Linked DNA regions of Coturnix japonica. The protein of the gene in region 1 binds, or shares a complex with, the protein of each later gene. Links are inferred from orthologs where the notes say so. Each region holds a gene or a part of one and is shown on either strand. Other genes may lie near its edges. The genes, in order: GRM5 and HOMER1.

The links.
Region 2: the proteins of GRM5 (region 1) and HOMER1 are in contact, whole or in part, in a crystal structure (PDB 1DDV), measured with the Rattus norvegicus proteins. The link is inferred for Coturnix japonica from reciprocal best matches to the Homo sapiens genes GRM5 and HOMER1. Residues at the interface, in XP_006229721.1 of Rattus norvegicus: Thr1155, Pro1156, Pro1157, Phe1160; in NP_113895.1 of Rattus norvegicus: His12, Phe14, Trp24, Thr70, Ser71, Gln72, Lys73, Phe74, Gly89, Phe90.

What each region holds. Positions count from the first base shown.
Region 1 is NC_029516.1:168,275,375-168,279,192, reverse strand, and holds part of GRM5 (metabotropic glutamate receptor 5), read right to left. Parts: intron 2,851-3,818; coding exon 1,911-2,850; intron 1-1,910. UniProt on the Homo sapiens protein: G-protein coupled receptor for glutamate. Ligand binding causes a conformation change that triggers signaling via guanine nucleotide-binding proteins (G proteins) and modulates the activity of down-stream effectors.
Region 2 is NC_029547.1:12,910,390-12,914,262, reverse strand, and holds the start of HOMER1 (homer protein homolog 1), read left to right. Parts: upstream 1-875; 5' UTR 876-934; coding exon 935-939; intron 940-3,873. UniProt on the Homo sapiens protein: Postsynaptic density scaffolding protein. Binds and cross-links cytoplasmic regions of GRM1, GRM5, ITPR1, DNM3, RYR1, RYR2, SHANK1 and SHANK3.

The DNA.
Region 1 (3,818 bases):
AAATGCATCTGATGCTCTCAATGCTATTTTCAATGCTACTGTTACTATCAACAACCTATTGTGTTTTACTAATAAATCTATACTGCAGGCGTATTCTACGCATTGAGGCATAAAGAAATGGAAACTAAGTCCTCCAAAAGAAGAAAATATATTTTGTCTTTAAGACACTCTGTACTCTTTTTTAAAACTGAGCCTTAACACATGACAAACAAACCCTTTCCAAGCCCAAGATCTTTCTGTTATCTGTAATTTTTTCTTGCCAGGAAAAAAGTTGTGAGATGGCACATGAGTACTGAAATGAAAATGAGGATAGATAAGAATGAACTCAAAGAGGAAGAATATCATCCTGTTGAGGACACTATCAAGAATACCTCTTTTACCAGCCCAGAAGTGGTTTCAGGGCTCCTAGCTTCAACATCTCATGTCACACAAGCTTACAGAGTCTGTACAGAGGTACATTTCAGGTAACCATCAAATAAGCTGATACAGGATCTACCATTTTGAAACAGCATCCTAACTTTCATCTTGAAATGAAATGAAAGATAATGCTGTTTATAGATAGTAAGTATAAGATACCTTGTAAAAACCCATCATTTTCTGTGTCAATTAAAAATCACTGAAAGAGAATCATGAGTAATAATCTGGCAGAAATCAATAATCATTTTGACAAAAACTGTCCTCTGGGTAATAATACTAATATTCTCCCTTGAATCAAAACAGTGGGTCACAGAGAAAATGAACTACAAATTGCCCATGTTCCATGCAAACTTCACTGTGAACAATGACGTGTCAAGAAGTATTCATATTATCAATCATAAAACCCATGTGTTTCAGCAAGGAGGAAAATACAGCTATCTGTCACTTCTGGGCGAGGCGCATAGAGCTGAGGAATGATAAGATTTCTGCAATATTTCTGCATTCATATAGGCAGAATTTCATGTTTATGCTAACAATTAAATAACCCCAAATCACCCTCATCACCCCTATATCAAAAGGGTAAGAGATCAAAAGAATCACTGGCTTGGATGCACTCCTGCACAGTCTATGAGTCCAGACTGTATTTCTGCTTTAGAGTTCTCCTTTTCCCCTGGTGTTCACTGACTGTAGTTTTTATATAATGCACATACAAGCTGTCATCATGATCACTGAATTCAGGTGTTTTTGTGGGAAGAAACAAAGAAATAGCTGACAAGAGGGTATCTGGTTGATGGCAGGAAGAGTAAGTAGCAAAAGTGGGGCCAGTGAGCAATTAACTTTGATGGAGTTAGGAAGATGAATATAGAAAAAGATATCAAGATAGGTAAAGAAGAGAAGATAGGTAAGGACAAAGAGAAAGAAGTCAGGGAGAGACAACAGAAGAAAGGAAAATCAAGTAATAGAAGAGGAAAGGCATAACAGAAGAGTCACATGAGACAAATCATCAGATGCCTGAGTGGCCACTCATGATGCCACTTGTGTTGGCTACTCCACCTTGATTGTGTAGCATTAACAGCCACTCTGTTGTCTTCCTGCTGTGGCTAGAGAAAAAATACAGTGACTGTGCAATTCATTCAAGTAAAAGAGCTTGCAAATGAGTGCATTAAGGACAAGGCAATTAGTAATATTTCTTGTTCTTTTTTTCTCCCTCCTAAGATCTTACTTCCCTTCTTGCAAGAAGTGTACAGTTGACACAGCCAATGCTTCCATCTCTGTGATTGTTTGTCCATTGCTCTGTGACCTGCTTTTGCACAACATTTTGACTAAATCAGACCTGTAGCTGTTATAGATGTGGGAAAGTGGACTTTTCCTCTCCCAGTGGAGAGGCAAAGGGAATTCATATATATCCCTCTGTCCATTCATTATTAGCATTATTACTTAACCCTCAGAAAAACATAATAACTTCCCCACACTCACACATTAGCAGACTTTACCTAAGTGTTTCACCAGATGATCCCCTTCTTTTCCACAGGTTCACCAGGCTGCTTGAGCGGCTTGCAGCCGAAGATGACTTTCCATCCCCTACATGCATGCGGACCACAGTCGATGTGGTGAATGCGCTGCGTACGTTCCTTTCAGGCTTAGCAAGGATGATGTAGACCTTGGGCACAAACATACAACCAAGGGCCACCGTGGCACTCAGACTCACTGAGAAACACATGGTGATTATCTTGTAGTTGCTTCCAAAATATATTGGCACAAAAGCCAGCCATATGATGCAGGTGGTATACATTGTAAAGGCAATATACTTTGCTTCATTGAAATTAGCTGGGACATTTCTTGTCTTAAATGCATAAAAGGTGCAACTCAAAATTAATAATCCATTGTATCCAAGGGGGGTTACAACACCCAAGTTGGTGGTGTTACAAATCAAGTAGACCTCTCGGATGCTTGGGTAATCATGCATTATATCGGGTGGCTCCATTATAAAGAGGGCAACAATTATGCCTAATTGTATACATATCAAGATAAATGCAATAACAAGTTGGGCACAGGCACTCATGAATCTGGGTTTCTTTGTACAAATTTTCTTCTTGCTTCCAGCCAGGATTCTTGCAATGCGGTTGGTTTTAGTTACTAGAGCAGAATAACTCATAGCTGGGGAGAGACCGATGCCAATTCGTTGAAGATAGCAGTAAATCTGTTGAGGTTTTGCGATGAGACAGAAGGTGCACAAATAACCCAAGCAGATGCCAGCTAGAATGATGTAGCAAAGTTCTCGGCTGGAAGATTTGACCACTGGAGTATCACGGTACATTATGAATATAGCTGTAACAAACAAGGTTGCCAGCAGACCCAGGCACGCAAAAACAACCGCTGCAATTGGTTCAGGATCACCCCATCTGAGATACTGGACCGGGATGAGGTCACAACCTACAGGGAACAACAACAACAAAAAGTAAATTGAAGCATGTAGGAATTAGATTGTTTAATGACAATGTTATAGATTGCCCCAATTTTTCTCTTATTTTCTCTTTCATGAAGTTGCTGTTACCATCAGTGTAAGCTAGTATTATGTTGATATAATGGCATACTAAATATTTTTCAGTGACAGCTTAATTCAGTAACACACTTTATCTGCTTGGAGTCTAACAATCTAACACTATGACTGAAAACATGTCCAAACAAATTAAGAAGTCACCTCTCATCACAGCAGAATATATATATATATATATATATATTTAGTAATTTAAGGACAAATTTCATTATCAAGTTGCATTGCTTTGATGTGAAATGCTCAAAAGTTGTCTGTATAGCACATGCCCTTTGAGGAGCAGATATCAATGATATGGTAACATACACTAAGTATATTAGTACTTAATTAATGACTATGCAGATATTCTAGCCATCAAGAAAAAGAGTACTTCTTTCTCATAGAGAATAAATTTTTATCCAGAAGGATTTTTCTGGGATTAAAGATGCAGATATACATAGTTTGGGCATGCCCCACAGTGCTCGTTTCCTTATCTGTCATTTGTGCTTTGAAGATGTTTGAGGAATTAATCCCTCATATAGTTGACCAAATCAAACTGATAACAATAAATTAGAATCAAAGCTGAATTAAAAATGTTCAGCCCCTTCTAAGGACATTTGGTGGTTTTTTTTTCAGTTTCTGTATAGGTTAACAAGTCATTCTTTGTACCCGTCTGTCAATGATTTATGGACTGGTTAGGCCTAGTTCTGTGATTAGTGAGGCAGAGGGACCCAGGGGCCCACAACCCCAGGAAGGAATAAAGGGAAAAAAAGGAAAGAGAGATGGGCCTGAAAACAAAACAGCAGCAGCAATTTGAGAAGAAACAAACTACCTTACTAAATAAGATATTGAAATGCAAGATAACACA
Region 2 (3,873 bases), on another chromosome or scaffold:
GGGCACCGCCTGACGCGCTGCTCGCTCCCCCCGCGTCCCCCGCCCGCTCCCTCCGTCCCTCCTTTCCTCCACCCGGTCCCACCCCGCTGCCGGCTCTGAGCCCGCGGCCCCGCCGCAGCGCACCCTCGGCCGGGCGGCGGCCGCCCGTCCCGCCCCCCGCCCGCTGGCAGCGCCCGTCCCGCCGCGCCCCGGCGCGATGCCCGCCCGCTGTCCGCAGCAGAAGGCGTGACGGCCAGGCGCGGACCCGCCGCGGGAAGGAGGAGCGGCGCCCCGCGTCTCCGCAGCCGGGGGCGGGCGGGCGGATCGCGGCGACCCGGTGCCCGCCGCCTGCAGCCCGATGCCCGATGCCGGTGCCGCGGCTCGCTCTGCCGCCTCGGGGAGATGCACGGCTGCCCGCCGCGCTGCTAGGGGGAGCGGCGGCGCGGAGCCCTGAGCGCACCGCCCGCCCCGTCCCGCTCCGCCTCTGAGGCGCCGCGCCGAGCGCTCGGTGGCCGCGCACCGCCCGGCGACAAGCGCCGCAGCCGCCGCCAGCCCCGCGCGGAGAAAGGGGAGCGCCTCCCTCTCTCGGGCCCTCCTTCTCTCCCTGCCTCCTCCCACCCGCGGTTGGGGATCCGTCCGCACGCCGAGCCGCCGCCACACGCCCGCTCGGGGGCCGGAGCCGCTGCCTGCGGACGCCCGGCGGGGCCGGCGGCCATGCGAGCCCGGCCCGCGGGGGGCGCTCCGTAGGGTGCGGGCGGCTCGGCTCGGCTCGGCCGCTGCCAGCCGGCGGCGCGACCCGCGGGCCTGCGCGGAGTGGCGCGGGAAGCCCGGCGGAGCTTCCCCACCGCCGCCACGGGGCTGCGGAGCTGCCGGCGCGGCGAGGCGCGGCGCGGCGAGGAGCGCCCCGGGGACGCGGCCCGCGCGGTACCGCCGGTGCCCGGCGCCGCCGGCCGCCATGGGGTAAGCACCTCTAAGCACCTCGCGGGGCCGCCGGGCTGCGGCGGGGCGGGGTGGGGTGGGGTGGGGGCGGGAGCAGCGGGGAGCAGCGGGGAGCGGGTGCCGCTGCCATCGGCGCTGAGCACGGATGCGGGGCTCTGCCCGCCGTAGCGCCGAGTGTCGGATCCGTGTCGACTGCCCGCCGGGTCCCTGCCCTGCCCGGTCGGGCCCGAGAGCGGTCGGCTCGGGCTCGGTGTGGGGAGAGAGCTGCAGCGCGGCCGGGGCTGGTTGTCCTGGAGCCTTCGGGGGATATCGGGCGTGTAAGGTGCCCACATGTGAAGGAGGCTTTAAAGAGATCCGCTTCACAGCGCGTCCCCCGAACGCGTGGGGACATACGCCCGAAATTTTAAGGAGATGGGAAGGAATTAAATCTTCAAAATGAAGCTAGCTGCATCAGGTCTAGGAGACATAAAAGTGGCATAGATACCTGTGGAAACTTTCCACGTTTGCAATCTCGCCTTTGTACGGAGAGATGATGAAATAACGCTTACTGCTGTGCTTGCCTGGTAACCTCCGGATGGAGTGGAAACTCGTCCATGTTCCAAAGCAGCAGAAGCACAACGTGATTTGGATAACCGCAATGTAGAGGCAGGCTTTTAATGCATCAACAAGACTCTGGTTTTCTGAGACCGCTGTATGTAGCTCAGTGTGTAAGAGTTGCAACTCGAGTCGTTTGGTTTTGGGTCATTCAGGAATTTGGGTGTAAATTAGCATAGTGCAGTAACGTGGAGCTGCAGGTGCATCGCTCCTCCAGCTGTCAAAGGCACATGGAACTCTCCAATGTACGAACCTGCCTGTGGTGGCGGTGGCAGCTGTTCCCCAGCACTCCGAGTCAGCGGGGCACGCTCACTGTGCAAGGTGTAGAAAGGAACGTCTTGCTAGTCTTCAGCTTTTATTTTCCATTAAATATATATACATGTATATATGTACAGAATAATCCCAAGCTTGCAGTTGTCTGCATCTTCAGGGAAGTGGTCATATCTTCTGGCTAAAGGCTGAATGGTAGTACAACATTTGGGGGCTTTATCCTTAAAGCTGCTGGACAGGCACAGAATTTTTCACCTTTTAAAATTCGAATGATGGGAAAAGATAACATTTATTTAAAATCAATGTTATTTGCAGGCATGCTGTTTAGGTGTAGCTTGCTGCAAATGCTGAAAAACATTGAGTAATAAGCATTGTTGCATTGTTTTTTCTCTAACAGAGCTTTCTGAAGACAAATGTCTGATTTGGAAAAAAAAATATATATATATATATAAAAAGATTGAGAGCCCCCTCCATTTAATAAACTTAGTGCTGCTGGTGCATGAGTGCTGCAGTTTCTCAATGAACAAACTGGTATCTGTAGAGAGTGGTGAAAAGGCTGAATACTGAAGAACTATGCAAAAAAAAATATTTGGAGAAATAATGCAGGGATGTTTTTGTGATGACTTCAGGGTGATATCCTGGCACACTGAGGTCAAGATGGCAAAAGTTGTTGGCTTGTGTTTTGAAGAGCCTTCAGACGATGCACGTTGAGGTATGGCAACTGAGTTCCTTTGCAGACAGTCTCTTAGCAAGATGGAGATAACCAGAAATCTGAGCGTGTGTTATTGGTGGCCCCCCCTGCCATGCAAGTCTGGGGGAGCACATCTAAGCCTGTGCCAACCCTCTAGACCTGCAGTTATGTACTGGGCATTTGCTGATGTTCAGAGTCTTCTTTCAAAAGCTGTTTTGAATTAGCATCTAAATGCAGTTCCCTATGGATTTTGGGCTATTTTGAGACCAACGTGTACTAGAATCTTAACACTGCAGTTATAAAAATAGTCTTCTGATACTCTGTTAAGGTCTTAAAATCAAGCCCGTTAGAAGCAGGTTGGAAAATGACTGATAATCATGCGTTCATCCATGTGAGGACTGCTTCAAAAGTAATGCCTTCAATTTTATTCTGCTGGATCACGGCATCAAGGGCACGTGTCAGTGGTATGGCAGGAAAGCTTGAACTGTCCCCCTAATAATCCATTCCATGTTGTTGCTGTGCCAGATGGCAGTAGAGGGGCGGTCTGACAAAATGGCGTCTGACATGGAAGTGTGAATGAAGTGAAGGTGTGGCATTAAATTCCCCCATGTGGAAAAGGTAGCACCCACTGACATTCACAGACACTTGCTGGAAGTTTGTGAAGAGCAACCTGTGGATGTGAGCAGAGTGAGGCAGTGGGAGGTGTGTTTCAGCAGTGGCAGTAGTGGTGTGAAAGACAAATCGTGCTGGGGACAGCTCTGCACAGCTGTCAGACCACGAAATGAAGAGCATCTTGATCTGCTGCTCCGTGCAGGTTGGCTAATGGTAGCGACTGTGCTGAAAAAGTGCATTTTATAGAGAAAATGTTCTCTATCAAATGGAGTTCTTGTGCTCTTTCTATCTGTTGAGGTCCCCATGGAAATAAATAGAATGCATTACTTTCGGAACAATCTTTGTATATTCGGTTGCTATCATGCATGAGTTCATATGGTGGATCTGTAGTATCTGGATGGTGGAGAGTTTGCTTTTATCCATGGTCTGGGCAAAGAAAAAAATGGAACTGGGTAGAAATAATAGCTTAGCTAATCAGCAATGGCTGTCTTACTTTATGGGTTATTATAAAGAATTCCCTGTTCTGCCAGTATAACTGACCCTGCTTGGCTGGTTGAGTACCATCTGACAAATGAAGCAGCTGAGTGGTGCATACCTAGCTGTACATTGCTGGTCTCTGAAGTTGTACTGCAGTGAAATACTTGAAGCTGCAGTGAGAAACTTGAAGCTTGAGAACAGCTTATCGGGTTCCTTGTACTTCATCCCTGATGTATGTGTGTGTATCCCTCTTGACTAACAGGAGAAGGTAAATGAAGCTCCAGGGGCAGTACACGTCTGCTCTGGTTCCT